Linked DNA regions of Cricetulus griseus. The protein of the gene in region 3 interacts with the protein of the main gene of each other region in a pairwise test. Links are inferred from orthologs where the notes say so. Each region holds a gene or a part of one and is shown on either strand. Other genes may lie near its edges.

Region 1 (4,258 bases), on a different chromosome or scaffold from region 3:
CTGCTGCACTGCCGGAGAGCTGGCCCCACCCTGCTTGTCCCCCCACTCAGCACCAGACACACTTTGGTAATTCTGACTGCTGGCTTCTGATCAAATACATGTATCAGCTCCTTCCTCCTGTCTTCTGTGACTGACAGAATAAGCTAAGCATGGACATACAGACGTGGAAATGCAGTATTTTTTTTTTCTTTTTAACCACAGTTTAAAAAAAATTAAAAAATCAAAAACAAACAAAAATCCAAAACAAAAAAACCTAAAAACTCCCCCCAAAACAAGAAACAATCTCACCAAAACAACCCCCCCAATCCAAAACAAAAAACAAAACAAAACAAACAAAAAAGCACAATCTTTGGAACAAAAGAATTAAAGGCAGAAATTTAAAGGAAAAATACATATTCAAAGAACATAGTGAGGTATAAAAAAGTATTCTCTCTTTTTTGTTTGTTTGTTTTCCTCTTCATCTTGCTATAGAGTCCTCTACTAGTAAATATTGCAATAGCCAGGCCTCATGAACTGGGGGCTGTCCCATTTGCAGGGTCTCACGTCACTTCAGTAGGGGGCAAATCGGCTGTAGCCACCTCGGTACAAACTCGCCTGCAGTAATTAAAGACATAAAAATAATTGAAAGGTGATGAGAGAAGCATTAGAAATGAAGTAACAAGTCCTGAGACAGGACTGTCACCTGCTCGGGCAGCCCAGTTGGTGGGGGCAGCACAATGGCTTACTCCTTGGTTACAAGACTAAGCAGTGAAGGCAGATCTGGCATAGTGTCCAACTGGTCCTACAAAGACAAGTCCTACAAGTTTGTTTTTGTGATGCTACTAGTGTCTTGATAGCAGCTGGACCACTGAACCCCCTTCTCACACTTGGCCTTTTATGAGTATGCCACTTCCAGTTTCTCCTTGGCAAAGGTGGTCACATTCTGTGTTTGAGATGATGCTACATTTACACCTGAGTCAGCCTTTCAACCAGTGAGACAGATCTTATCTACAATCTATGAAACATAGTTGTCTCAATATCCATGGGTCATTGATTCAAGAAATGCCCAGGGATGCCCAAACTCAACTAGTCCTTTGTCAGAAAGAGTTAGTGTTCATGTATAACCAGACACACGCTCTGCGATGACACAAAAGGCCTAACACAAGGTTAAGCACTCTGCAAACTGCTAAAATACTGTACTGTTTGGAGACCAATGGGAGAATGAGTCTACATGGGAAGATAACCTCTCCCTGATACTGTGGTTGAGTGTTTGAATGTGAGGTATGGATGTGCATGCCACCCTGGTCATTTCCTCACCTTTTTTTTTTATGAATGAAATATGAATTTATTGATTATAAATCCATTTCTTCACCTTTATCAACTGACTTTCTCTGGTGTCTTACTTCTTTTCATGTGAACCTTCCCAGGAATCTTACCCTAGGTCTTTCTTTCAGTGTAGGGGATTTATTGTTTAGCATGAAATGAAACAGGTGTCATTATGGAGTCGCCTGCCCTTATATCTGTGAATCCCAAACAGCAGTAAAGGCATCTAAGCCAAATCCAAGAGGGCTGCAGCGAGAAGGTTAGCCCCACGGATTATTTTAGACAAGCTTGCTCTATGTACTTTGCTAGAACTGCTCTAGAATCTACCTCTGCAGTGTTTACCATACTATAAGTCCCAGTACTACCTATATACCAGAAGACAATGGGACAGGAGGGACATCGTTAGGCATTGGTAATTAAAAATGCAATATACTAACTACAGTGAAAACTGGGCACCTTAACATTCCCAAGCCTTTGCTACTTTCAAGAACACTATGCTACTGGTATGTACCCGGCACCAGAACCCTCTCCCTTCATTGTTTCCTAAATGACATCATTACTGTCACCTTCAATCCCTTTCTTGTTACTGCCTTTCCAGACATACAGGTAAAGAAAGTAACAGAAACTCCCAGAGTCTCAAATAGCTTCTACACTTTGGCGACAGATGAGATGACAATGCATCACTTCTCCTTATCTTTCAAAGTTTTTGTGTAGAAGTTAGGAGTAACATGGCTTAAGAAAAAAGGTATACAGCTGGGTGGTGGTGGTGGTGGTGGTGGTGGTGGCTCACGCCTTTAATCCCAGCACTTGGGAGGCAGAGGCAGGTGGCTCTCTGTGAGTTTGAGGTCAGCCTGGTCTCCAGAGCGAGTGCCAGGACAGAAAAAAAGAGAAAAAGAAAGATATATAAACTTACCACAGCGCCAACTCCATAGCTGGCGGCAGGGGCGAGGGCATGGTAGGGGTCAGCTGTGTACACCCTGCCGTAGCTGGAAAAAAGAAGCACGGTCACATGAAGAAAGGGGACACTGAGACTGAGGTCTGTGCTATAGACTTGAACTCTTAGCAGGGAAAATGGCAGATGGAAAAAGCCTTCCTATGTCTGTTCCCCAAATGCAGTAACTGGGAAATCTTGATGTACGTCTTTAAAATGGCAAAGAAGGGGTCAGATGAGGAAGAAGGCTGGCTGTGAAGAGATAGAACATGAGAGTACAGGAAGAGGCTAGGCCTGGGTGCTGCCATGGCAGGAGGCCCAGGGACTAAGGGTGGTTCTGGAAATGGAGAAAGAGGGAAGGGAATGGTGCTGCAGATGGCATGGTGCTCAGGACATCGAGAGCCTGCTGCTCTGGCTCTGTACATACCCGTCGCTGTAAGCGGCTGCAGCGGCTGCAGCAGCTGTGGCTGCGGTTGCAGTAGCAGGCTGTGCATATCTGTAGGCTGCATATCCACCCTACAGGAGAGAAGAGAACTGACTTTACAGCTACCTCTCCCCGAGAGAGACACCTCCCACCCCACACAGACCCACACGTGTAGACACAAGGACAGACACAAACACAGACACACATGGGAAGGGATGTTTCAAACTGCACCAGTCTGCATGCTCCTTCTTTAGTAGCAAATCAAGCTTCTGCCAATGTCGGAATTTGCTTTCCAATTTGTGACAGTAAGAAAAATAAAGTACACGAATACTGCTTAGTAATTTAAGAAATTCAGATATGATTTTGAATCTTCAGTATTTTCTGGAACTCTTGATAGGGAAAACATTCATGGTAGAACTCTGAGTCTACATGCATATATGTATATAACAGAGCTTTAAAAAGAGTTGAACTATATTTCTGGAAGAGGATTCAAGCTTCTGAGGCAGAAATCCACAACTAACCAATGGGCCAAGCTCCTGGATACAATCGATGTGAGGGAGGAGTGATAATATATGAACAAAGGAGTCAAGACCATGAAGGGGAAACCCACAGAATCCGTTAATAATTATAACAAGCAGTAACCCATCTGTTATATCAGAGAAGGGAACAGAGACTCCACTGAGAGATTTAGAGTGAGATGTTAACATTTCGAAAGAGAACTGGGACTGGAATGTAAAAAAATAAAAAGAATAATAATAAAATAGCTAAACTATATCACACCCAGGTGTCAAGCACAGATTCTCTGTCCTGGGACTGCCTGGTTACTAGAGAAAGCAGCAGGTCACAGGGAGGTCTGACCCAGAGCTTGGATCCACCTGGCCCAGCAGGTCTGTGGAGATCAAACCAGAGAAGCAAGGGACCAAGCAAACCAAGCATGAGAGCATTGCCTGTGAACTAATACAGCCCACCACCTGAAGAGATTGTGGCTTTAAAAGCCCATGTCTGAACCTAGTTCTCTATAAAAAAACTGCTAACTCTAGCCTATATCCCAGGGAAATCAGATGACAAGTGGCTTAGGAGCGTTTGGCTAGCTCTGATGAAGTCAGACATGCCTCTTAATCATTTAACTGCTTTTTTTTTTTTTTTTTCCCCTTCTAGGACTCAAGGACACTCATGTAACCATGGCTCTTCAGACAAGTGAAACAATTGTTAAGGCCTCATTTTACTTATCCTTCTACAACTCACCTACTTTATCTAATTCAGATATCATTTCATTATTTTTTGTTTTCTTGCAGTGGGGTGGGGGTGTTTTAAGATAGGGTTTCTCTGTGTAGCCCTGGCTGTCCTGGAACTCCCTCTGTATACCATGCCTTGAACTCACAGAGATCCACCTGCCTCAGCCTTCTGAGTGCTGGGATTAAGGGTCACCACCTCCCTGCCATATACACATCTTTTATTGCCATCCTTTGGCTATCAAAAATGGCTTAGTTGTGAATAATAAGATGTGTTTGTAGATATCTCATGGCAGCTGAAGTATCCCATTTTTTTCTTCCTTCAAATGTTCATTTTTTTTGCTAACTTTACAAGAGACATCTCACATT
Region 2 (4,252 bases), on a different chromosome or scaffold from region 3:
AGAAAAAAGAAAGATCCTCCATTGCTGTACATCAGATGCAGGCACAGAGTTGTAACTAAACAAGCTGTAAACACTTTTTATCCTGTAAGCATTTACTGATTTAACTTGGAAATTTGCATGTCCTGTCATCCAAATTGCCCAACATCTCCACCAGTCTTTCCCCCAAACACATACAGTACAAGCAAGCACACACACCACTGCCTCCAGGTGGTAACTGCATGCAGAGAACTACAGGCACTGTTGAAATATTAACCATGTTTTTAATAGATGGCATTCTTGCACATCCATTATTTGTTTTCTGTTGTGGCTGTTTCTGTTATTCACAAAAGAAAAAAGGGAAACGTGGGTGTCATCTTTTTATAATGGTCTACTACAGAGTAAAATACAAAAGAACACTTCCAGAAACAGAAGCCAGGCCTGCACCACTGACTTCCTCAGCCAGTGGCAACCATTATATCAACAGCTGGAAAGTCAGAACAAGAGTATACAGTTTGGAGGACATGTCACAGAACTATAGTTTTCTTCTGTATTTGGTACCAATATAGTAAGTATATAACAAAGGTGCACTTGTTCTAAAAATAAAACAGAAACATACTGGTTGGTTAGATACTGCATTTTCAGAACTGCACATTACCCAATACTGTTTTTTTTTTTTAGATAAAGGTAACTTATTAAATGTTTAATAATAAGCAAAACAACAGTACACGCTAATCCAATTGTAGAAAAAGAAGAAAGAAACCAATCAAAACCAAGACAATCGCTTTCCAAAACAGCTCCTTCTTTGGCCTGCACAACCAGAGGAAGGAACCATGAAGGCGAGACATTTTCAGCACCAGACATGGCTGGACAGCTCCCGATGTCTCTGAGGCTCAAGAAAAAACAAAAAAGGCCAGGCCACCAGTCAAGTGTGCAAGTGGGGTCCCACGGATGGGGGTGGGAGGCAAAAGCAGATAATATGGGTTTTGTTTTGTTTTGAGCTCGGCCAGCGAGAGATATTTCTAAAAGTAAACTCGAAAACTCTGCCCAGGGGAACCAAAAAGTGAAGAGATGACCGACTAGAGAGGGGTTACCTGTCCTAAACGTTTTTCTGGGACACTCTCTGTGGTCTCTGGTGCTTAATGTAGATGTTTCATTTATAATTACTAATGCCTGAGCCCGGCTGAAGGTGAGGAAAGGGGAGGGGAGAGAAGCTAAAGGAAAAGTGAAAGCCCGTGGGGGAGGGGCAGAAAGGCTACTAAACCTTCACTTGACAGCTATATACAACATCACCGGCCCCCTCCCCTCCCTTTGCTCCTGTGTCATTGTCTTTTATATATTTGGTAGCTTGTGCGGTTTCTCCTCCTTACTGAGAGGGGGGCACGGGGTGGAGAGGGAAGATGCAGCCATCATTGACAATGAGAAATTATGTGATTTGTCATGCGCTTGGACTGTGTTATTAATAGTATAATAATTACTATAAATATCAATAAAGTATTATCGGCGTTATTTCTTCCTCTGAGACTTTCCTCGCCCAATATTTACAAATACCGCACAGTGCCTCGGCGGAGGAGAAACAGTAAAAGGGTGGGCAGGTAAGGAAAGAGGGCAGAGGAAAGAGGGGCCAGAGGAGAACGGAAAAGGAAGAAAGGAGGAACAAAAGCAAGGATGGCAAAGATGCTGGAAATGAGGAAGGGGTCGGGAGAGGGCTACACAATCAGGACAGTACCACCGTTTGCAAAAGGCCCTCGCCAGCTGTGTCCAAGCAGGAGGAAGCTGCATGTGCTCCATGTGGACTGGGGGCTGGCGGTGGAGGCGGAGGTGCACAGGGACCCTGGCACAGGAGACCAGGGGATGAAGAGGTGGCATTGGAGGGGGTGCTGAAGGCAGAGTCCCGGGGCTGTCTCTCCAGCCGGGTTTCTTTTCCATGGGTTGGGGCTTGAACACCTGCCCGGGGCAGCCCACCACCACCGTGGCTGCCGCTGCAATGATCTCTCTCGTACTCCTCCTGAGCCCTCTGCATCTTCCGCTTCTTCATCCTACGCTTGTGGATGTGGAAAGTGGAGAGGGACAGCACGATGAGGCAGAAGATGAGAGTGACCAGGACAATCAGCACCAGCGTGGACGAGAAAGACTGGAAGAGCTGCTGTCCCACCTGCGTGATGCAGGTGCCACCACCTGCGCCCGAGCTTCGGACACCTGCGTTGCTGCCTCCACTGGCATTGTGGGAAGCAAAGGTCCGGTTGAGGAGACAAGGCGGCAGCGCCAGCCTCAGCTCTTTAGGCGCCCTGGCACTCATCGGCGCTGGGCTGAGAGGGGCCAGGCCCACTGGGCTTCCTCTGTTGGACACACAGTTCCCACCGGCCAAGACGAGGACAAGAGCCCACGCCACCCCAACTGCTCCCTGGCGCTGGAGGGAGTGAGTGCTCCAGCCAAAGACTGAGGGAGCAAATGCCTGCAAGCAAGCTGACCAGAGCTAGTGGCCCCAGGGAGACTGTCTCCGTTCCTCCTTGATCTTGTCTCCAAGAGCCCAGATTCCTTTCCCGGGGCACCGTGCTGCAAAGAGAACAGGATTAGTTAGGGTCCCGGCCACTGCCAAGGCAAGTGCGGCGAACGAGAGGGATATGCTACCACTGCTAAGTGGTCCTCAAATGAGCGCTATCATCTCCACAACCCACCAACCCAATCCTACCGCTCCTGGCAGCGCAGGAGAGCAGCTGCCAGCTGCTCCGCTGGCTCAGATAGGGTCTGGCATCCACACCGCACCGCACCGCGGAGACACTGGTTACTCAGCAGAGAAGGCAGCTGCCCTGCCCCCTGCACAACTTTCTAATTGTTACCAACAGCGGCCGGCCGCCAAGGCTGGCTTTCTCTATCTACTTCCCAGAAAGCCAACTGCCCTCCTCTCCGAGCTCTGTGGACCTCTTCTCAGGATCCAGCCAGCATTCGCTCCAAGCAGGCTCCCTATATGCAGCCTTCCTTCTCCATCCCTCCCTATTCAGACACTTCCAGCCTGAACCTTCAGATCTCCAAGGTCCCAGTCCCAGGAGATACATCCCACTGCCTCTGTCCCTGGCCACAGCTGACACGCTGGATCTGGCACACAGGATCATGCTCGACCTTTCTCCAGCCTTCTTCCCTGCTACCTTCCTCCTCCTTCCTCCCCATCAAAAACAGCTGAAGCACCCTGCTCAGTGGAGGCACATCCTCGCAAACGCCCCCCTCCTCCTTATCTCCCTGAGCCTCCCACTTGACGGTATCCTGTATCCTTTTTCTTTCTCCCAGAGCAGGAACTGGAAGGGGAAGGGTTCCCGCCTGCAAAGTTTGGGGGAACCGACCTTGTTTCCAGCCTTCCCAGGGCCCTGACCCCAGGGCCCAGAGGCTGTGGCAGAGGACCAAGTCAGGAGGACCCGCAGCAGGCAGTACAGCTCCCTTGCCTCTCCCAAAAGGCAGGTGCAAACTGTTGCACTGCGGAGCAGCAAGGCAAAGCGCTAGCCTCTGCCGGGGCAGGGGCGGGGGCCAAACCTCTGACCAGAGGTGCTTGCGCAGGCCTCGGGAGTGGTCTTACCCGCCCACATGCTGCCGCTGGACCCCCCGGCCATGGAAGCCTTCAGCCGGACAATTGTCTCTTACCTGGAAAGGCCAGCCGGCTGCAGAGGAGCCCCCGCCTTGGCTGCAGTGACAGCTGCAGAAGGCGCGGAGCGCAGGGACCAGAGACAACCGCGCTGCTGCTGCTGCTGCCGCCGCCGCCGCTGCCGCCGCCGCTGCTGCCTTCGCTGCTGCTACAAGGAGCTCAGCTCTTAGCCTATTGCCAGAGAGGCCGGTGACGTCAGGCAGCCACCGCCAGGGCTCCAAGCCACCCCTCAGGCCCCCACCCACCCTCATACCCAACACCTTGTCCTGGCATAACAGCCTCGCCAACACCATTCCCAGTTCCCTGTTGTTCCCCGGCTTTGGGGCTGGGAGGAGCAAACCCACCCCAACCCCACCCCCACCTCCACCTCCACCCTGCCAGCAACCCACCTTCAGCACTAGCACTCCTTTGCCTAGGAAGATGCTGGCTTTAGTTCTTCCATTGCTCTGCGCCTCATCCTTCACCAGGTACACAGTTTGCTCCAGGAGAACCTTCTTCCCTTGGGGCACACTTTCTTCCTGTTGACTGATCAGAGTTCTTGCTACCCCCAAATCCTATTTTTGCTGCCTCTGGTTCTAAGCATAAACTGCTTGTACTGGGGAGATGGCAAGGACATTTGTCAACACAACTGTGTTGTGGCAG
Region 3 (3,454 bases):
TGAAGAAGGGGCACACAGGACCTTTTCAGGCCTGTTTCCCTGAGAACTCTAGGGCTGCCTCTGGAGAGGATTGGGACTCCACTTCTGCCCTGTGGTGAGACCAGCAGGGTTTATTCTCTGCCACAGCAAGATGAAGCCAGATTCAAAGGACAAAGATGTGAGGGTCTGTATGCTGCCTTTACCTTTCAGAAATCGGAAGATGAAACATGACTCTTCTATCCAGTGACTCACACAATGTACTTAGTACACTGCAAACATCAGTGACCTTGAGGATAAACCAGACGATTATGCAAAAAATGCTAATGTTAGAAGTTGGACATTGGCTACACAGGGTCCTAGTTCCCTCCGTAAAAATATGAAGGCACTACACACTGCTGTCTTGCTACTTTACCCAATTTGGAGAGGGTGGGAGTTGAGAGAATCTCACTAAAGCCCAGGCTGGCTAGGACTCTGCCTCCCAAGAGAAGGGATTACAGGTGTATGCCACCATTAATTAGATCAAAAGCAATGGGATTTGATGGTACATAAGTACCATTAAACCAGAGAGAGAATTGTAGCTCATGACTAGATAGAACCGAACTAGAAATGGGATCCAACTCAATAACGGAGGTCCCATTTTGGGGGTCTTCCCTTCCTTGGGAACAGAGCAGGCACACAGCAGTATGTGTCCCCTAGCTAGATCTGGCAGCCTTGTTGGTGCTGATGCAAGAACTTCTGGTAGCCGATGACCTGTTGGCACGAGGATCTTCTAACATGAAGCTCAGGGTGGTTTCGGAGCTCGAGAAGATGGCAGCGGCATCGATGAAGCCCTGGAGCTGGGCGCAGTCTTCTAGGGTGCTCTTTCAGAATCTGCTCCCGTGAAACATGCAACTTAGCTTCTACGGGCCAGGTACTCACAAACTCAGCCAGAGATTAAATACTTTTGCTCCAAAATTGTAGCACCATGAAAACAAACTCTGTAGTCTACTTGAGATCATTTTCCCTCTGATTGAAATTTTTATTGAAATCTCTCAAATATCATCAAGAAATAGTTTTTTGTTTTTTTGATTTTTTTTGTTTTTTGCAAAAGGGGGGTGGGGGTTGCTAACAATTTCAACATGGGAGCTCCCTCTGCTGGTCTGCAGTAGGCTGATATGTGACAAACACATTCCCAGAGACAAATCTAATTTGCTGGAGAAGAGGACAAAAGACAGGTGTGTTGGGCTTTGCCTCTGGAGAGAAACACTAGAAGAAAAAAAAAAAAATCCATGTCTCAAAACAAAGCACAACATTGCAAAAAATAAAAAATAAAAAAAAGCAAAATCAGAAGAATCTCCAAGACACTCAGTTTCCAAAACAAAACCCCAGGCACCTAGGAAGGGGCCCCCACTCTGCTCCCCTCTAGTCAGTATTCTCGGAAGCCATCTTGGCCTCCAAGGCTCTCCTGACAGATTTCCCATTTACTTAGAAAAGAAAGTTCCAAGAAATCGCTGGAGCAAGGCCTCTCCAAAATTCCATCAAGAGTAAAAGAATTAGGTGAGCTGGCGCCTTGCTGTTTTAGCAAGGGAAGCAGGTGACAGACCTGCTCTAGAACTCTAGAACCACTGTGACTTGGGACAACTCTCCATCTCCTCAGGCCCTGTTCCCTGTCTGTGTAACGGGCTGGATCAGTTGTCTGCAAAGCTACCAGTTCACTCCAACATGGACAAATACATTTATTAAGAATGTTCATTTAAATGACTCTACAGAAGTGAGACTCGACATGGATCTCACCACCAGCAGATCGGAGTTCCACCAAAGGTAGGGCTGATGGCTGAGTTAGGAGGACTGCAGGCTGGGGAAGTCTCAAGAGAAGGGGGTCGTGTGGGTGATGTATGCCAACGAGGCACACGCCGTGATGCATCTAATCTTGCACTGGGTCTCCATCCCTCCTCACAGGGGCGTAGGCTTTCTAAATCTCCCAAGACCCTTGTTAGAGAGCCTTTACCCTCCATATCCTGCAAATAATTCCAGATGTCATGTCACATCATGACCAAAGCCAGTCTTCCCAGGTCTTTCTGGGCATTAGCAAGCCTTGATTCTCCAGGCAGCAGTGAATGGCTCTGTTGCCCGATGTGCAACCTTGCACTGTTTCATGGTGTGTACTGCTAATAACCCCAACAGTTGGTTGCTCTGTTCCTGAACCCTAAGCAAGAAGGGCATACCTGCACACGAAGTGTGGGGCACACAAAATGGGGACTTTATGGACCTTTGTTGTCAACAAAGTTATCCACAGCACAAAACCACTAACGACTCAGCTAAAGACAGCCACCACCTAGCTGCTCCTGCCTGCTACCTGGCAGTCACCAGGGTTACTGAACACTGACCCATGTAGAGACACCGGGCAGAGGGTGGAAAAGCAAAAGGCACACCTGATCCTTGACTTCAGTTTGTTTCTTGAACCAAGGCAAGTCACTGCCACCTCTGCACTTTTCCTAACTCCCCACACTGCTTTGTACCCCCTCCCTGAAGAGGACAGACAATATCTGTTCCCGGGCACAAGACAATGGGGTTCCCTTTGAACTCTGTCTGCCTGAAGCAGATGATGCCCCAGGGAGAACAAACAGCTAAGGAAACCAGTTGCCAATGCAGGCAAAAAGCACTGGAGTCTCAGATAAAGAAAGGTTGGCCTGCAGTACTCTTGACACAGTGGATTGGGAACACTCTCTGGGGCTGCTCCCAGGCCTCTTAATCAGGACATGAAGGGGTATCATCCAGCCTTGGAAACAAAGACCATGCAAAATAAACACCCCCCCACACCTGACCAGTCTGACAATTTACAAAGATTTATAGTATTTGTTTAGTTTGGGTGTCTGCACGAGTACTGGTGTGGAGGGCAGGGGACAACTGGCAGAAGGCAGCTCTCTCTTCTACCTGTGGGTCCTGGGGATTGAACTCAAGCTGTCAGGCTTGGCGGCAAGTGCCTTTGCCCAATGGGCCATCCTACCAGTCCACAGCCAGCAATTTTTAAGAGGCCAGGTTGAGTGGCATATGTAGTAAGACAGATAGAACCTATATTTTACTTGTCAATGGCCAGCAATAATTGTCATGGGCTGACTACATGAGTGGTTATGCCAAGGGTGAAGCTCGGGTCTCATTATTATCCTCAGCTCTCAAAAGAACCATGGCTTCCAGGGAGAGGAAGAGCTGGTATGCCTCTCCCTGTATTTGGAGGGGAAGCAAGGAGTTTGTTTCTAAAACCCAGGCTGAGCAATATGCTGCGGAGATCTACCCTTGACATGGACCTTTGTGCACATGGCAATAAGCAACCTTGTCTTCCCTGCAACTCCCATAAGATCAGGCTTCCTCTTGGAAGCCTCCTTTCGGCCCCTCATCTCACTTTGGACAAGAGAGCACAAGTCTCTTTATACATGAACAACACACACACTTAAAACTCATGCCTCCCTTCCATACCCCTCACAGTCTCTCTCTCTCT
Region 4 (5,058 bases), on a different chromosome or scaffold from region 3:
TTTGGGAGAGTCAACTAAGTCTTCCAGACCTCAGTGGTCTTCATTTGTTCATTAGGATGACAGCGGTAGCTACCTCTGTTGTAGTATGAGACTTGACTTACGTTCATATCAGCAAAGTGCCTAGGACTGGGTGTGTGAAATATATGGTCCCACGGGACCCTACAGTATTAAATGTTCTGAGGATATTATCTTGTTATTATCTTAAAATTTGGATATAGGTCCCTCCATTTTCTTTTGCAGTGCCCCCTCTGGGTTCTGACACTGGCACATTGGAGTAACTCTCTGTCTTCTGAGGGTGGTTATTTACTATTGCTTTGAAAAGGCAGGATCATGATGTTTTGGGGTCGCAAGGTCAGAAGGTTGTAAGCAATCTAAGGAGGTGAGAAGAGATCACTTGGTCCTTAAGGGTTTCTCTCTTGTCCCCAGCAGTTGAAGTCGTCTGCCTCGGGACTTGGGGTACTCACCATAGCTGGAGCCTTTGACAGTGCCATCTTTCCGGCCAGGTGGGCTTGCATAGCACCCAGCTTTTCCTTTTCCAGCTCCAGCTGTGGGGTTATACACCAAAGTGAGGCCTCCACCTGGTCTTCAGCCACACCTTTGGCTGCACTAAGGCCTTCCCTTGGAGGGTCCTCCGTCACATCCTTCTTTCCCCTCAGCCACACCCTGCAGGCATTACCTGCTGCTCCAGAGACTGCACTACTTCTCTCTGGAGGAGGCACTGTGCCTTGCCCTTCTCATCCAGGAGGTGATCTGCTTGGCAGTGCCTGAGCAAGGAGAAAATTCCATGTAGCTCATCATGGTGGGTCAGGCCTCTTGGCTTGGTGTGCCATTAGGGACAGCCCAGACCCTTTGGGAGATTTCTTCTCAGAGTCTCAGTTTCCCTCACTCAACAACACCCACCCCCTCTCACACCTGGATACCCTTAAACACACACTCTTCAGCAACTGCTGGCTTCTAGGCCTGGGCTATTAGAAAGGTGGTGAGAGGGAGAATGGCACTTCAGATGGTAGGCACAGTCTATGCAAAGGCCTGGCCATGCAGGTCATACATCATTGCCAAGAGTTAGGTATGGTTAGCAAAATACAGAAGGGGAGGGGGGCAGATATAAAGCTGAGAGGAAACAGCTACAGTCATCTAGAGGAGCAGAAATTCAAGGCTCCATAATGTATATTGCATGATGGGAAGAAGGACAAAGCAGTTAGGAGTGTGGGTTCTGGAGCCTGTCTGCCTGAGTTCATATGCAACATCCATCATACAGGATCTGTGTGAACTTGATTGACACTTAATTCTGTTTGGCCTTAGTTCCTTTGTGTATCACATGGAGATAACTGTCAACATATACTTTTATTATTATTATGTCTCATCATACAAGTGAGGCAACCTGGGCTTAGAGAAGCCCAGAAACTTGCCCAAGATCACAGAACCAGGGAGGGATGAAGTCTCAACCTTTACTACTTTCTTATCATCAGTCAAGAAGATTCTGAGTTGAGATATGCAGTCCCGATCTCTGCTCAGACACCAGAATCCCATGGGTAGGGTCAGGCTACTCACTTGAGAAACTCTTCTGGCTCCTCGAAGACCTTCTCACAACCAGGCCACTTGCAGACTCCGTTGGCCAGCAGTGGGTAGGATCCTTGTGGTGCAGCCAAAAGGTTGCTGGGGGTGGGAGAACCCAGGGTGTCAGCAGAGGGGTGGGCGGAGAGAAGGGGCTCTTCCCAACACTGCCAACTTACTTTTCTTTCCTGGGTGTACCCGAGCGTGGGAAGGTGCAGAGTAGAGCTGGCTCCCTGGATACCCACTCCAGACTGGCCACATTGATCCCTGTGAGTAGAGACAGGGTACTTCTGGGGCTGCAGGCGAGGCTCTGCAGCTTGTCCCAGAAGGCCTCTACCTTCCCTGGACCTTGGAGACTGACTGATAGGACTCTGCTGTTCCCACAGAGCAGGCTTCTGACAGAGAAGCCTAAAGACAGCCCTTGGTAAGTAATGACATTTTGAGTAATGGCAGCAATTTGTGATTTTTGACATTCTATGTCTTCAAGGTTCTAAGCCTGACAGATTTTGGAGGTTGGTGTTTTCATGACTCTTAAGACCCCTCTAGACCTCCATAGGGCTGTAACTCAGAAAAGTTTACAATTGTGTATATTCAAAAATCTGAGGACTTGGCGGTTCTGTGAAGCCATGGGGAGAAAGCTGATGTGTTTACCAGGTGGCAGGCCAGGCCGGGCCTTGAGGGAGAAGACCCCAGCGGCAGCAGAAGGTGGTGGGAGGCTGATCATAGCTGGGTTGTCCAGTGGGCGCACTTGTAGCAAAGGGGTCTGGGCATGGGCATCCACAGTGGAGAGCTGAGGAACATATATGGACCATGGCTCAGGCTGGCTTGTGCTCTGCCTTACAGTTATCCTGTTTGTTCCCTCTTCCCAGCCTGTTCAGATTCCATACCTGATGCATGAAGTGTGGTCTATCCTGGAGAAGTGCCTGCAAGTGGGGCGAGGGGCCTAGTCGGGCCCCAGAGGGTGCCACCATGACTAGGGGTACTGTAGGCAGCTGGAAGGAGAAGGCAGATGCCATGAGATGCTAGCCTCAGCTTCACAGTCCTGTGTCTCATCATCGTCTTTTCACTAAAGTTCCACATAGTAGGGACTGTTAACATATCCAGTTCACACACGTGGAATCTGAGGCTCATAGAGACATGATTCACCAATATCAAACAGTTAAAAGTGGTAGAGTTGGCCCCAACACTGTCACCTTACCTTCCTGGGCTCCAGCCATCTCCTCTTGACACAGTGAGATGGGGACACATGGCTATGCCCATGGGATCATAATAAGGTCTCCTTTTGGGACAAGGATTGGGAGGGTGGGGGAAGCCTCGAATCTCTGAAGCCTGGAGAGTGGGGATTTTCTTGGCCCTGCAACATCTGCATAAGTCATAGACTTGCCTGGGACCCATAAACCACTTCCTGTGCCCCAGCCAGCCCCCCTCCTGCCACATGCCACAGTAAAGGTCGGCACCTATAGGCCCAGGTACCCCACCCTGCTTGCCCCATTCTGGGCCCCGGGCCTCACCTGCAGCTGTGATGGTGGCAGGGGGTTTAAGGAGGAAGAAGTGTGGGCCCCACCTCGCAGGTCCCGGCCTTGGAAGGTTCCCCCAGGACCCCTGGTCCCTAGGAGTTCTGAGCCCTTGGGTGCAGTCTTCCAGCTTGGTAAGACTCCTGGGGATGGACCAAGGGCCAAGGAAGGGGCCACGGGCTTGGCTGGCCTGGGGTTGGGCATTGGGTTCTTGTCAGAGGCAGGCTGCAGGAACAACAGTGGAATGGAATCACATGCATTCCAGGGGTGGTGTAAGACATTCATCCACTTGAACCATACAGATAGTGTACCCGAGCCCTCCTCTCTCTTACACATATACACTGATATATGTATAAAACACAAATTGTGTTTATCCCCCACATGTACATGTCCAGAACTTGATTTGCCTGCATACACCTCACAGTCCTGTTGTGAATGTGGGGCAATGGGGAGTTGGTTTGTGGAGCCTCAGCCTTCTGGTACCCCCTGCATTCTGTATGGGCCACAGTCATTGCTGATTCTACTGGGGCTTATCTTGGACTCTCTTTTCATTATTTTATTCCAGTGACTTGGGCATGAGCTCAAAAGAGTCAGCTGGATGCCATGAGAGGGAAGGTTCCAGGGAACTTAGTAGTACTAGTGAGAAGTGGACTGCAATAGTTTAGGTCAGTGATGCTGCTGCTACCAACCCGGATAATGGCAGAGCAGCTGGTAAGGAATGGCTAGATAGTAAGTCTTTTTTTGAAGACAGAGTCAGGAGAAGTTGCTGGAGGCTTAGATGTAGGAGATGGGAGAAAGGGTCAAGATGACATCTGGGGTTTTGTATAAGCAGCTATGACAAAGTAATCATTGCCAGAGATGGAGAATGGAGGAGTAGAGTTTGCAGATGGCAGTCCGATGTGGCTGCATGCAAAGGTAAGCAATTAGATGGAGGGTAGACATGCAGGTAGGTAACTGAACTCAGGACTGCACAGCTCAGGGCTTTTGTCCTGCATGGAGTTAACATGGCAGGTGCCAGAAAAAGGAGGGACAGGATTTCTTGATCCAGGGCCCTTGGGAGCTCCCCAAATTAGCCTCATCCCTACTTGCCCCAATCTTTGCTCCCCAAGCTTGGAATTCCTGCAGCATCTCGTCTTCCCCTAGCCAGACCTGTCTTCTGTGTTCCTCCTTAAAGCCCTCCATGGTGACCCAAGCCCCTCTGCTGAGCCCCATTACCTTATAGATCCTGAGGGGCATGGCTTTTGTTTTTGTTTTGGATCTTATAGTTCTAGTCAGAGAGGCAACCAGATCTTGAAGTGAGGGATCTTTAGTTAAAGGGGTACCCCAGGTTCATATTTCTACAGTTTGTTCATAGCCTGTAACCTTTTCTTTTTAGATAGGATCTCATGTAGCCTGGACTAGCCTGGAACTCACTATATAGCCAGGTTGTCCTTGAACTGTTTGCTTTCTGAGTGCTGGGATTACAAGTCACCATTCCAGGCTGATGTCTCCACATCTTGGTCTAGGAAGTATGTATCCATCCATGTCTACAGTTCACAACTCCCTGCTTTGTAGATGTGTACATGTGTGTATGTCATTCTCTAGTCTACTGTACTACATGCCTTGGGCATATGGCTTCTGCAAACAGCCAGGGGAGCACAGAAGTGTTCTGGAAGCCAATTGCTTCTTTGTTATCATGTCATGGGGATCATCAGAACTGTGGCCCTGAGTTTAAAACTGCAGTGTCTCATGGGTTAAACCATTAGCATGAGAACCAGGAGTCTGGGTCTGTAGAGGCTGAGAACACGGGCTTCATAGAACAGTGATGAGAAGAGGAAGTGAAAGACTGAATGAAGGCAGGCAGCCATGAGGTGATGGTTCTCCAAGGCAAAGAGAGCAAAGAAAACAAACTAGAAGGCCAAGAGTAGATTACAGAAGGAGCCAACCGTGCTGACATATTGGTCTTCTAACCTCTAGAACTGTGACACAATAAACTATGCTGTAAAATTCA
Region 5 (4,833 bases), on a different chromosome or scaffold from region 3:
AAACATTACATACAACACAGTAAAGGTTAGAGAAAGAAAAGACTAGCTGATTTGGGCTTTTCCCTGCTTTATCTAAAATGAAAAAATTTACCTTTCATTCTGTCTTCCAATAGTTCTGAAAACTACTGTACAAGTACAAACCAAAGTAAAAGGAGAAAGAACATGAAGGGACTTTTACATTATTCAGGAGACTGGGCTAAGACAAAGCTTTGGCTCCACAGTCTCAGAGCAATGCACTGGGGGTTGATGGCTGCATTAGGCATGTTTACCAATGCCTAAGAACAACCCTCAGATTCTAATTCCCAAACAGAACCTGAGAACATATTTTTTTTAAAGCTATCAGATAATTATACTGTACTTATATTACAATAAACAGGGAAAACGTGTTTTGTTTTTTCCTAGGGGGGTCAAATTCTCACTCCGGATTGGCAGTGACCCTCCTGCCTCAGTCTCTGAACAGCTGCAATTACAGGAGTGAGCCACTACTGTATCAGCTTTAAAGAACAATCACCTTTTTAGGTATACCCTAAAATGTTAGAAATACTATTTGTTGGCATCTGTTTCAGAGTAGTGGGTGGGACAATGGCTTGGAGCACAGAAAGCCACTCATTCGTGACCTTTCAGCACCATTTCAACCGGGTGACATACACACAGTTCATTGTACTGTTCTAGTTTATAAATGTGTCAGATTTCCCATAAGGTTTTAAAAACAATCTTAGGGATCCTAATGTTCAAAAGGGATGGAGAACCCTAGTGAGTCTACTAAAAAGCCTGACCTTTAGAGCAAAGATGCCCCCCACCCACCCCACTGTCTCTATCAGTTACTTTTATGACGGAGGATTTTCAGTTCAGGATTTGAAAGCTCTACACTATTAATACACCTGGCTTTGGAGCAAAGCCCTTCCACTTATGACATGACATTTCTGTGGTAGCAGGGAACGCAGCAAGACTGTTTACTGGAGTTGAACCACCAGCAACAGCAGCAAATCGGCAATTCAAATTACAGTCTGAAGATGATTAAGGAAAAAAAATCAGTGGGGGGAGGACATGTGAACTATAAAGTTTTTAATCTTCATGAGACTGGGGGGGGGGTTGTTGGAACTACTTTTCTCATTTCACAAACGGCAAGATGTGAGGGAAAGAATGTTCCAAAACAGGCCTGAATTCACACAGAGCAAGCTGGCTCCTATTCAGGACACCAATTACTGCAGTCACAGTTTGAATGTACCCAAATCCTGAGTCATCCATGTAGGAATGAGCAAAAATACACGGCCTGTCACCCTGGGTAAGCTTTGGAGAACAAAATCCAGGCTGAGCACAGAGCCCCAACGACGAGGAAGAAGTCCTAAAGTGGGGACAAAGAGGGAACCCCAAGAAACGCACAGCTCAACATCTCTTACTTCCCTAACGGAGTCCTCAATCAGGACTCAAGAAAACAAGCCATATAATCCAAATTCCACATGCTGTCAAAGAGGTAAATAAAACTCTATTCACTATCCTAAGCCTCAGTGCAGTGGGAAGGGATAAAGTGACAGGCGCCAAGTATATCCCAATCATCTCCAACCCTCTGGTTTTTCTTTTTCACTCCTGACAGCCTACTTGAGAAATTAAATGTTTTTAATGCTGACATTTCTAAAAGTGATTAGGAACATTAGGGTAGCAATCATACTGCTGTCGGCTCCATCTGCCTCTTCTTTTGGGTGAACAAAAATGGGCCTTTGGCTGGAAGTCTCTGGCATTGGTGGCAAAGTCTTCGGGCAGTTGTGGGTGGTTTTGAGCCTCAGGCAACATTTTGAACATTTCGAAGCACTATAGTGGAGTGAAGGGAAGTAACTTGCTCTCCCACAAGGCACAGCCAGGTGTGCAAAAAGCACAGTCACAATCGCCACGTTTATAAAAAAAACCAACCAAACAAACCTGAAGCCATTATCCAAATGATGCACTGTTCTGATCACCAAGACTAGGCGAAAGTATTCAAGTAACCAAGTGATAACTGCTGAGAGTCACGCAAACGGGGACGAGGATCAAAAAGGGGACGCAGGGCCCCTGAGAGCAAAGGTGATATCTACACAAAGGCATTTTCAGGGAAAAGAAATACATTTAAATATCTCGAGGCCAATGTGAGAAACGGAGCCCGAAGCAGCAGCTCAAACAAGGCAACCTCTTAAGTTTCCAAGCTCGCTCACCACCTATACATCCTGCAAGCTCCACCACAAGAAGGCAAGATGTGGTGCAGAACCAAGGATGGGGCGGGCAGGGGACGTGTCTCTGGTACCGGTCCTGAAAGTATGGCCCGCAGATCAGTCAGAAGGGCAGGAAAACAACTCCACGCCTCTATCCTCATTTGAGGCAGCACCTAGGAGGCATTCGTACTCAACATCCCTGTCCGCGGGAAAGCCCTCTAAAGTCATAAAATAAAATGAACCCGTAACCCTTGGGAGTGAGGAGGAAGAACCAAGAAGGGAGAAGCAGCCGGCAGCCCCGTGGACTCACCTTGGAGTCGGGCAGGTTGAAGACGCTGGGGTCGTCGGTGCTCCCCACCATGATCTTGTGCTCCTTGCCCGGGCCATGGCCGCCGCCCTCGGCTCGCGCAGCCTTGGCACCGTGGCGCTCCCCGGACACCCGCTCGCTGGTGGTGTTTCCCATGGCTGCAGCTCGAGTCGGGGGCAACCTGCCGCGGGGAACGACACCGGGCTGGGAACACCCCCGCGGCCGCGTCAGGGGCGTCCCGGCCCCGCCCCTGCGCCCGGGAAAGGGAATCCCCGCCGCAGGAGGCCGCGCCCGGGGTCCCCTCCCTGGTCCACTTCGGGGACGCCTCCGGCTGGGGAACCCGCCCGGGAGTCACCTCTACCCCGCGGCCCCGGCGCCGCACACCCTCGCGCCGCTCACCTCGGGCGATGCGCTCCGGGATCGCGGGGCCACGCGCACGCCGGCTGTTGGGCGCACAGAGAGACCAATAAAGTTATTGAAATTGAAGCCGCGCCCCAAGCCAGCGGCACGGGTGGTTTCCTCCTAAAATGGCTACAAGGCCCGCGGCGCGGACCCGCCTCTGTCCATGGCCCCGCCCACAAAACCTCTTTGTCCCGCCCCCTGCGTGCCAGCCCCGCCCCCTCCCCAGTCCTAGTCGCCTGCCGCTCTAGCCACCGTCGCCGGCCGCCGTCTCTGTGGTGAATGCGTGCGTGCCTGCCTCCAGTTTGGGGCGGGGCGGGCGCGGCGGGCGGCGGCGGGGGGGCGGGGCGGCGGTGGGCGGGGCGCGGGTGGGGCGGGCGGGGCGAGGGGGGTCAGGGTCCGGGTTGGGGGCCAGGCTCTCGCGTGGCGGGCGCTAGTATCTGGATGGAAGTCTATACGCTTTCGGAGTCATGTCTTCCTAAGTAATCCGTCCAGCCATGGGACACGGACTCGTCAGAGAAGCCAAATCCGAGGTCTCCTGCTCTGGGTACAGAATTAGAATCTGCACTTTAACAAGATCCCATCAAACTGCTTGACAGCGGTAGGGAGCGGTTCCACATTCGAATGGTTTTCATTATGCCGCTTACAGCTCTACCGAGCGACCTCGTTTTCATTGTCCCAGGAAGCAATGAAATGAAGGGTGGAAGAGAGAATTGACTAGACGCATGAAGTGTGCCTGGCAAGTACTGCAGAAGGCTTACTTATATGTGGTGCCCAGTTCACCATAGTGGTGTTTTCTCTTACTGTGATTAGCTGTGTGGGAGCATGCATTCAGCTCAAGATGAAGTTTGGCCAAGGAGGCAACAGAGGAGTTGGGAGCGCATGGTGGGCTGGGAATATACCGTTGGACCAGCGACTGGAAACCAGTAGACTAGAAAGTGAAGGCAAAGCAGGCTGATGGCGGGCCCAATGGAGTCTAAGATTGATGGGCATGAGGGTATCGGAGTGAGCGGAGAAGATGATTAAGTAAGTGGTTTTGGAGAGTAGGATGCCTGCCACTGAGATTTCAGAGGCCTTGGAGTTATCAGCACTGGCAGTATCTTGGACAAGATCAAGGGTGTAGGTTGGTGAGGCTAGGTAGACCATAAAGTCATCAGAGTAAGAAAATCAAAGAAGGGCCTGGAGAGATGGTTGAGTGGTTAAGAGCACTCGTTCTTTCCGAAGACCCAAGTTTGGTCCCCAGCCCTGACATGATGGCTCATAACCATCTGTTCCGGCTGATCTGACATCTTTTGATGCACATGCAAACATGCAGGCAAAACACCCATTTATAGATAAAACTGAAAAAAAATGTTTAAGTCATGCAACTGAAAAGTGAGATGGCAGAGATGGTTGGAGATCTGCCTTCCTAACTCTCATTTCTTTCCTCTTTCAAAAGCATTAATCCATCTCCATCTCCATCAGATGCCAGGAAAGGGAATCCCCGCCGCAGGAGGCATTAATCCATCTCCATCAGATGCCCATTTCCACAGAGATGCACTTCTTAGCCTCCCCAATACGGGGCGGGGGGGGAGATACCATGTAGAACTTCTGTTAAGTTTTTCTTCATGTCTTTATCCTTGTGTATAGGACGCTCATAGAATAGCTAGAGCTCAGCCTGGCATTGGTGGCACACACCTTTAATCCCAGCACTCGGGAGGCAGAGGCAGGCGGATCTCTGTGAGTTTGAGACCAGCCAGATCTACAAGAGCTAGTTCCAGGACAGCCTCCAAAGCCACAGAGAAACCCTGTCTCAAAAACCGAAAAAAAAAAAAAAAAAGAAAAGCTAGACCTCCAGCAGCCACTTTGGACCATGATGTAGCTAAAAACAACAGGCTAGAAAAAAACTATGCAACTAGCAAATCATCTCATAAAAGATGTCTACCTCCAGACATTTTTTTTTTT
Region 6 (4,258 bases), on a different chromosome or scaffold from region 3:
ACAACCTAGAAGTCTGAAAGCCAGAACCAAATTTTCTAACTACACTTCCAGGAATGGCAAATTATTAAGTATATATGGCTTTGAAAAATAAACAAACAAAACTATTATTCTCCCCTAAATTTGCTAGAATTTCAAAAAATTGAATGATCAAGAATAGTTATGTAAATATCTGCTATGCAAGGTATCTGCTATGTGACCCTGGTGAGGGTCAACCACTGCTCTAGAGAAATGGGATGGCTGAACTAGAAAACTATATCTGCTTTGCTGTGAAAAATCATCTCTAGGCTGTTGTTCACTGTAGCCGGTCAGCAATGAAATGGTAGCCAGGTCAGGTCAATGTGGTATATGACACCCATGAACTCTAATCATCTGTAGTTACTTGCCCAAGTCCTGCACAGTTAAAAAAAAATCTAGCATATGAGGGCAGGAGGATCCTCAGGCCCTACTGCTAGCTGAGGAGTTGTTGGCAGTCCATGGCTTCTGGGCCTGGGAAGGTCACTTTTCTTTACGAATTTGACACCAGTGCATCACCCCTAGTTGAAATCAGTGGGCTAACATGAATAAGTAAGACATGAAGTTGGATGGGAGATATGATGTGGATTCTTTAGAAGGATTGGAGGGGGGAGTTGGGAGTACATGTGGTAAGATAAAATGTATCCATGTATAATACTTTTCAAAGAATAAAATGAAAAAGAAACAGATTCCCTGGTTAAAGAACACTGTGGACTTGTAGGCAAAGAAGGTATCTTGTGGTAGGCAGGTATCTACTTACCATTGGTGTATGGGTTGACAGTCTTTTTATTAGTCATTACACGTGCTGTTGCGTTATTAACCTACACACATAGAAAACTCAAGTGAGTTTGGATGCCAAGGCCAGCCCATGATTCAATTAGTTGCATGCATTATGACTGTGATTACTTATTGAAATCAAAACCAAGAAACAAAAACTTAAACAAAAACTGAAATGCATTTTAATTTACAAATGGCAATAGGTGCATAACCCAAAAATCATACATTTTTATAATTACATTTACTTCATAACAGATTTAACTTACAAATCATTTCAATAAAGCAATGTCATCTCATTTAAAAGTTTAATAAAGAGACAGTAAAAGCAAATTAAAAGATAATGCATAATTGAAGATTTAAAAGCATGCGTGTGCTCCATGGTAACACAGAAACAAGAGATAGGTTTTTAAACAGAAAATAAAGTTAATATGAAAGGGGCATGCAGTGGAGAAGGGAGAGGAGACAAAGTACAGGGAACATAAATGTCAAAGAAAGGGACAGACAAGTTTAAGCCGTGTGCAACACTTTGGGAAGGGAAACCATGGGGAAGCAACATCTAGCATTCAACACTTGGAACAAGAGCCTTTTACATTGCAAGAATTAACGAATCATTCAAGCTTTAAGGTCACAGCTAACAAAAGGATAAAAGAGAGGGTGCATTGTGTAACACAATATGGAGTTAACGATCTGAGTAAGATGTGCACTGGTCATAACTCAGTCCAGTCAGAGCCTCTCAGGCTAGCTTAGAACGTACACTCAGTTACAGGCGTACCAAAGACCCAAAAAAATAGAGCATCAAGAAAACTTAATACAACAAGTCAAAAAAATCCACGTGGTAGAGAGATATGTATAGAGATATATCAGCACTAAATACGTGAAGCGGCAGATGGACTTCATCACTTACCATTCACCACCATCGCCAGCATGGGTTTGTATACAGTTACCATGGTTACTGAGGGTTTGGTGAGGGGCCTAAGCGTTACCGTCGAGGGGGGAAAATAAAAAGGCAAAATATGCGACATCTTACTCCAAAGACTAAAGCATTTTTAACTGGTAATTTTTTTCTTTTCAAGTTTTAACAAATATGACCCTTTGATTGTGTTGAAGAGGAACCCAGTGGTACAAAGGGCAGGTGCTGAATGTCAGAACGAAGGGTCTACATTTCCAATTGACAGGGGCCATGACTTAAGCGGGAAATGCTGATTGCCTATTCAATGTCTAATCATTGAATGCAGAAATTGAAGCTGGCTTTTGTTTTTTTAACAGCAAGATTTAATGACAAGTGCCTCTCACTTTTTCTGTTTTAATATTTTGAAATGTCATTGCCTTGGAAATTTGGTCTAATTTGCAAACCACTGTGGATCCCTCTTCAACCCTAAAGTGGACTAAAAAGGAAACAAAATAAAACAAAACTTGATATATATTTGGTTTTGTTTGGATACTGTGTCCTCTTTGGAACCTATTGCACCCATTGTTCATAAAACATGGAAAATAAAATAAAACAAACAGACAGAACCTTTCATATTAACCTCCCTTTCATCTCACTTTTTTTTGCCATCTAATCTCCAGCAGTAATATAAAGAATAATGTAAAGTAAAATTTAACAGAAAGTAAGGCCAGTTTTCCTTTTTATATCTAAATATATATATATAAATATATATAAACAATGAGAAGGGAGTAGGGTCACACACGAGACACCAATGATGCACCTGGAAGGACAAATGAGCGTGAAGCAGACATTTATAAAAAAAAAAAAGAGGAAAGGAAAATATTTTGGACATGCACCTCGATTTTACGGCCCTCTACCACGGTACCGTGCAATTTCTCCCTCGCCCTGTCCGCATCCGCACTATTTTCGAAAGTTACGAAACCAAATCCCTGCATGCAGGAGGGAGAAGGAGAACAACATGCATATTATTATTTCAGTCAACGACCACTTGGTAAAGTTCTCTCGCTTTCATTGCTATTTCTTGTCCTGGCTTCAGTTCTGTAACATGCAAATTAGAGAAATTATAAGAACACTACGATGTGCAGTCATTAAGCAACAAATGTGAACGAGATTTTTTTCCTGTCACCAGTTAGCTGGAACCCCTAAAGAATTCAAAGATGGATATGGAAACGAAAACCAAACCAACAAACAAACAAAAAAAATACCTTTCTAAACATCACTATGAAAGAAAAGAAATCAAACAAAAAGAAAACGAGATCAAAATAAATGTACAGTGTCTTCACAGAGAATAAATGAAATAATGAGGAAAAAGAAAGGGAACCAGTTTCTTGACATGCAAATTAAAAAATCAAACAAAATAAAACGTGTGCACGGGAATTCAACAGTGAATGCTCAAGTCCTGTCACATTGCCTACGGAGTCATGCTGCGTGGATTTAAGAACAGTTCTTCTTCATGCAATTTTAAGGTTATTCGATTCTGTCAACTGTACAGCATTTGCTTCTCAAAAATAAAAGTAACAAGCCTAAAAAAGGAAAGACCTTTTCTTATAATAAATTTTGAACTTGTGGTTCTAATAAACAAAAGAAAAATCACATGAAATGAATAGAAACAAACTTTTTTGGTTAACAATGTAGATAAGCAAGTACCATTCTACATTTGTACTTTGCCCTCCCCCTTCCCCAAATAATAAAAGGCTTTAGAATTTGACCTTTTATATTATGTTATTAACCAAAAAACAAAGTTCTAGGGCTCTAGGCTGGCATTCACTTGCTATGTCAACAGGTACCAAAGTAAAGACATTTCCTAGATGGGAGAATCTATGTACCATCTGAACCCATCCTCTTTGACTGATAAACATCAAATACAGCCCTTGTTTGCATCACAAGTACAGTTTTTGCTTTTAATATTTCAGCCTCTAACACCAACCCCAGTATTCCATTTTTTAAAAATCCATCTTCATTCTTTACTGACACTGTTTCTATGATGAGTATAGAAAAATCTGACATACTATTCCTAAAATCCTTAAATATATTTCTACATTTTGTTTAGAAATATATACACCAACCTTTGGAATAATTCCAGTATGTTGGGTCCACATTGGTATAAGTAGGAAGCAATTTCATACTCTATCAATTTTCACAGAATAAACCTAACACACAGTCAAGACAGTTACTTGACCCTCATACACGACATTGAGCTTTACAAATAAAATATGCAATAATTACACTTTAGAGTGGTAATAGCCATCTGATATTGGACAATAGTCCTATAATGGAGCCTATGAGAAGCTTATAATTGAGGGATGTTTGGAGAAAGCTGCTGGGTGCACCAACAAGGAGACTCTATAAAACCAGTCTTGTCTATGGAGGGTATGAGCTGTGAATGTGTTAAGGTACTGGGAGATAGATATTTGTCAATGTCACACACAGAAAAAAGATCATATGTATTTACTTGACTGAATGACTTTGCATTTCTTTTCTCAGAATAAGGATTCATAAGTAGGGCATGCCTGAGTGATC
Region 7 (4,107 bases), on a different chromosome or scaffold from region 3:
CAGGTGCTCTGGGTTTCAGGCCCTTTGTCCCACCTATCATTTACATTTCAGGGGTACTGGGTGTGTTCCCCAAACAGAACACTTGCCCTGAATCCTGGGCTTTGAACGCCAGTAGCTAAAATGCCAGTACCTGTGGGACTCTGTCTTTGGATAAATGAACACAACTCTAAAGCAGAATCCAAGACTAGAGGCCAGCTTCTCCCCATGACCTGATGATCTTTACAGATAGGCACAGGGGAACTACTGAGGACAGAGGGGACCCTTCAACAAGCAGCATGTCCTCCTCCTCCTCCTCCTGCCTTGTGAGCGAGGAGGTGGCTTATAGGATTTTGATTATGGATGCCAACATAATAAATCTCTTTAAATAACACATCAGCGAGCCTGCTTCTTTTTCTACTTTTTTAGTACTAGGACTCAGACTCTGGGCCTTGTGCATTCAAGGTACATGTTCTGCCCCAGAACTACCCCCAGCCAATAAGTCACTTCTGTGAGGAGAAAATGATCTGATTTAACAGAGGGCCCAAGTACACTGCATTTTTCCCAGTCGTCCCAGGAATGTTTATTGAGTTCCTGCTGTGCTCCAGTGTACAGTGCTGTATATGGGGGACAGAGCAGAACAGCGTCGTCTTTAGGTGTTTGGAGCTCACAGCCTGTTTCCAGCTGAGGCCCCATGGCTGTCCCCACTCCTGACCTTCACAAATGTGATGGTGTTAAGGAGTTACAAAAGACCTGATTTAAAACCAGGGTTATCATTCACTAAATGTGCAACCTCGGGAGGTTAGTTAGCTAACCTCCCTGGGCCTCCGGTCCCTCGTCTGTGAAGATCTCTGCAGCAGGCTTGGTGTGAGGTGTGAGTGCGGACAGGGTGCATGAGCTAGCCAGGCCCACAAGAGGTGGCCACAGACTGGGAGGGTGGGGGAGGCAGAGAAAACATTGAAAGGGCTGGCTTTGTCCTGGTCCTTGCTGTACCCAGCTCCAGGATGAGGTTGGGGGAGTCTGATTTCACAGGACGTCCAACCCCTCCTCTGTACTAGGCTCTCCCAGGGCCCCAGCTTCTAAGGGATCCTGTTGCATCCTCACCATGGCCTTGGACAGTGAGGCAGTTCCGTTTCAGAGATGGGAGGTTGAGAGCTCGGCCCAGAAGGCTATCCTCCCGACACCAGTCACTAGAGGGCGCCAGGGCCCAGGGGAACGGTGTTGAGCAACCTCCTTACTGTCCTTGCAGTTCTCCGGAGTCCACAGACCAATAACCAGGGCCTGGAATAGTGGCCCAAGGGCTCCACAGTGTGGGAAGGAGGTGGCAGAGAAGAGGAAAAGCCAGAACTAGGGTACTGGAGAAGCCCCTGCAGCTTTTCCCACTCCTCAGGGACACTGCTTAGATTTTACCCTTCTGGTCACCTGCTCCGCCTCTGGTCATACCTGTGTCTCTGCAGTCCTTCTGTCTGTCTCCAGGTTCCTTCATTCTTTCCCTCTACTGTGACTGGCACTCTCTCTGTATGCTTATTATATCTCTCTGAATGTCTGGTCTCTCTCTCTCTCTCTCTCTCTCTCTCTCTCTCTCTCTCTCTCTCTCTCTCTCTCTCTCTCTCTCTCTCTCTCTCTCTCTCTCTGTCCCTCTCAATGTCTCTGCCCTCCCACCTCTTCACCCTGCAGCGGCTCACTGCTGGCCTCTCTTGCCCGCCTCCTTAGACTTGAAAAGGGCGGTGAGAGAGGAGGGAAGGGCAGTGTGGTGGGCCCACCTCTTTTTGCCTTTCTAGGCTGGGAGGCTGGACCAGTGGGTCTTTTAACGGCCTGGGCAGCCTGTGCAGATCGCCAGCCCTGAATGCCGTGCCTGGCTCTGCAGTCCCAGCAACACAGTCAGCATGCAGCAGCAACCGTCGCCAAGATCCTTGGCTCCTTCTGCAGAGCCCACCAAGCCCCCTTACAGCTACATAGCCCTGATCGCCATGGCTATCCAGAGTTCACCGGGGCAGCGGGCCACCCTCAGTGGCATCTACGGCTACATCATGGGTCGCTTCGCCTTTTACCGGCACAACCGGCCGGGCTGGCAAAACAGCATCCGCCATAACCTGTCTCTCAATGAGTGCTTCGTCAAGGTGCCCCGCGACGACCGCAAGCCAGGCAAGGGCAGCTACTGGACCCTGGATCCGGACTGCCACGACATGTTCCAGCATGGCAGCTTCCTCCGTCGCCGCAGACGCTTCACCAAGCGCACAGGTGCCCAGGGCACCAAGGGCCCTGTCAAGGCAGACCACAGACTCCTCAGAGCTGCCAGCCCAGACCCAGGAGCCCCCAACACCACTACTGGCAGGCTGTGCCCATTCCCACCAGAGGCGCCAAACCCCAAGGGTCTAAACTTTGGGGATCTGATGGGGTCGTTGCCAGCCAGCATATGTCCGGCAACTAGTGACGCCAGGCCCCAGCTGGCCACTGAATCCAAAGAGATGTGCTCGCCCAAGTCTGCATGTCCAAGGGAGCTCACTGAAGCCACCTCGCCCTCCCCGTGCCCAGCATTCAGCTTTTCGGCTGCCTTCCCTGAAGCTGAGAGTCTTGGCAAGGCCCCCACACCTGGAGTGGCCCCTGAGGGCGCCGGGAGCAGCTACCAGTGCCGGATGCAAGCGTTAAATTTCTGTATGGGAACTGACTCGGGCCTTGAACATCTCTTGGCCTCTGCAGTACCCGCCCCTGCACCCTCGACTCCTTCCGCCTCTCACCGGGCCCCATTGCCCTTGCCAGCTGACTCCAAGGAACCCTGGGTGACTGGGAACTTCCCTGTCCAGGGAGGTTCCGGGTACCCCCTGGCGTTACCTCCTTGCCTTTACCGGACACCAGGAATGTTCTTCTTCGAGTGATTGACTGCAGCAGTCGCTTCGCAGGGCCTCTGTGAACTACTCTCTGAAGACCCTGGCTGTGGGACCTAGGGCACTCTTCAAGGACCCAGCCCTGGCAGGCCAAGGACTGTGAGGACCAGAAGGCCGAAGTGAGCCATCAGCCAGGTCCCGGGGCCTCCTGACAAACTTGGGATGAGGGGAGGTGGGGCCCTCGGATTTTCTCTGTGGTTCTCAGGGCTAATAAAGCCAGTGTAATGGTGAGGGTCTGTCTTCTGAATAGCTGGGGCTAAGGACCAGGATTCTGGGTTCTATGTGGGGCACTCTGATATTGGGGGTACAGCAGGGGTTGGGAACTCATCTGAAAAGGTCCTGCTTGAGACTTTCTCCTGTTGGGGACTTTCTTGGGGAGTTTCCCAGGAAGGGAAAGTAGGGCATGAGGGCAGGCAGGGGGGAGGTGCAGCCAAGATCCACAGAGTATGGGAAAGTTGGGCTAGCCTAAGAGGCTGCTTTCTGTCCTTGAATTGTAGCTGGACACTCTTTATGAAGCCTCATCATGCCTACTGCCACACCCTACCAGGCTTGTTTCTGTCCTCTTGCCTGGGTTCTAGGGACTATCAGGCCCATTTACAACAGTAGGAGCCCAAGCTCACTCCAGCTCCAGGGAAAGTTCAAAGGACTGGCAGAGAGCAAAGGGTACCCAGGTCTGTGTGGCTCTGACTCAAACTGAGGGGGGAGAGCTGACCCCAGGCAGCATAGGATGGCCCCAGAAGGAGGAGCTGCATCTTTCTGAACACCAGGGCAGAGAAGACACCCTTCACCCTTGTGCAGACAGGGAATCCAAGTCTTAAAGGCAGCACCCATCTTTATTTGAACTCTCCACAGTAACGGAACCTCTCCTGGGTCCCTGAGTCCCTGAGGTCTCCTGGTGACTTTTTGCCAAAATCATATTACATTTATTTGTGAGTGTGAGAGCCCCCTCCCCTTCCCCCACACACACAGAGGCAACTTGTGGGAGTTGATTCTCTCCTTCCACCAAGTGGATCCTAGGGATGAAACTCAGGGGCCGTTACCACTTAACGCCTTCTCACCACCCTCCTGTGACCCTTTATAAACACATGCAGAGGCAACTGAGTTCCAAGCTTTGCTGTGAACTAACTATTCTCTTGGGTAGAAGATGAGAAATGGTGGTTTGCATTGTACCCACCAGAGGAAGAGACAGGAACCTGAGACCTCATTGTTGCCCCAGCACTGCAAGGAACAGAAGCAAAAGGCTTCC

The links.
Region 1: the proteins of Rbpms (region 3) and Rbfox2 interact in binary tests that used the Homo sapiens proteins (3 or more experiments, as listed by UniProt). The link is inferred for Cricetulus griseus from reciprocal best matches to the Homo sapiens genes RBPMS and RBFOX2.
Region 2: the proteins of Rbpms (region 3) and CUNH11orf87 interact in binary tests that used the Homo sapiens proteins (3 or more experiments, as listed by UniProt). The two-hybrid records come from large-scale screens. The link is inferred for Cricetulus griseus from reciprocal best matches to the Homo sapiens genes RBPMS and C11orf87.
Region 4: the proteins of Rbpms (region 3) and Foxp3 interact in binary tests that used the Homo sapiens proteins (3 or more experiments, as listed by UniProt). The link is inferred for Cricetulus griseus from reciprocal best matches to the Homo sapiens genes RBPMS and FOXP3.
Region 5: the proteins of Rbpms (region 3) and Prkab2 interact in binary tests that used the Homo sapiens proteins (3 or more experiments, as listed by UniProt). The link is inferred for Cricetulus griseus from reciprocal best matches to the Homo sapiens genes RBPMS and PRKAB2.
Region 6: the proteins of Rbpms (region 3) and Rbfox1 interact in binary tests that used the Homo sapiens proteins (3 or more experiments, as listed by UniProt). The link is inferred for Cricetulus griseus from reciprocal best matches to the Homo sapiens genes RBPMS and RBFOX1.
Region 7: the proteins of Rbpms (region 3) and Foxs1 interact in a two-hybrid assay, tested with the Homo sapiens proteins (2 studies listed by BioGRID and IntAct). The link is inferred for Cricetulus griseus from reciprocal best matches to the Homo sapiens genes RBPMS and FOXS1.

Annotation. Positions count from the first base shown.
Region 1 is NC_048595.1:374,338,720-374,342,977, forward strand, and holds part of Rbfox2 (RNA binding protein fox-1 homolog 2), read right to left. Parts: intron 2,750-4,258; coding exon 2,661-2,749; intron 2,289-2,660; coding exon 2,216-2,288; intron 595-2,215; coding exon 550-594; coding exon of another isoform or gene 540-549; 3' UTR 1-539. UniProt on the Homo sapiens protein: RNA-binding protein that regulates alternative splicing events by binding to 5'-UGCAUGU-3' elements. Prevents binding of U2AF2 to the 3'-splice site.
Region 2 is NC_048597.1:164,386,467-164,390,718, forward strand, and holds CUNH11orf87 (uncharacterized protein C11orf87 homolog), read right to left. Parts: upstream 2,276-4,252; coding exon 1,694-2,275; 3' UTR 642-1,693; downstream 1-641.
Region 3 is NW_023276807.1:51,013,500-51,016,953, reverse strand, and holds the end of Rbpms (RNA-binding protein with multiple splicing), read right to left. Parts: intron 1,225-3,454; coding exon 1,093-1,224; 3' UTR 974-1,092; downstream 1-973.
Region 4 is NC_048604.1:114,053,253-114,058,310, reverse strand, and holds the start of Foxp3 (forkhead box protein P3), read right to left. Parts: upstream 3,273-5,058; coding exon 3,066-3,272; exon of another isoform or gene 2,547-3,065; coding exon 2,442-2,546; exon of another isoform or gene 2,345-2,441; coding exon 2,206-2,344; exon of another isoform or gene 1,822-2,205; coding exon 1,734-1,821; exon of another isoform or gene 1,657-1,733; coding exon 1,552-1,656; exon of another isoform or gene 1,470-1,551; intron 765-1,469; coding exon 677-764; intron 546-676; coding exon 465-545; exon of another isoform or gene 1-464. UniProt on the Homo sapiens protein: Transcriptional regulator which is crucial for the development and inhibitory function of regulatory T-cells (Treg).
Region 5 is NW_023276806.1:58,819,409-58,824,241, forward strand, and holds the start of Prkab2 (5'-AMP-activated protein kinase subunit beta-2), read right to left. Parts: upstream 3,043-4,833; 5' UTR 2,890-3,042; intron 2,695-2,889; exon of another isoform or gene 2,672-2,694; 5' UTR 2,647-2,671; coding exon 2,494-2,646; intron 1-2,493. UniProt on the Homo sapiens protein: Non-catalytic subunit of AMP-activated protein kinase (AMPK), an energy sensor protein kinase that plays a key role in regulating cellular energy metabolism.
Region 6 is NC_048600.1:39,361,768-39,366,025, forward strand, and holds part of Rbfox1 (RNA binding protein fox-1 homolog 1), read right to left. Parts: intron 2,668-4,258; coding exon 2,575-2,667; intron 834-2,574; coding exon 773-833; intron 1-772. UniProt on the Homo sapiens protein: RNA-binding protein that regulates alternative splicing events by binding to 5'-UGCAUGU-3' elements. Regulates alternative splicing of tissue-specific exons and of differentially spliced exons during erythropoiesis.
Region 7 is NC_048599.1:27,073,799-27,077,905, forward strand, and holds Foxs1 (forkhead box protein S1), read left to right. Parts: upstream 1-1,621; 5' UTR 1,622-1,862; coding exon 1,863-2,852; 3' UTR 2,853-3,092; downstream 3,093-4,107. UniProt on the Homo sapiens protein: Transcriptional repressor that suppresses transcription from the FASLG, FOXO3 and FOXO4 promoters. May have a role in the organization of the testicular vasculature.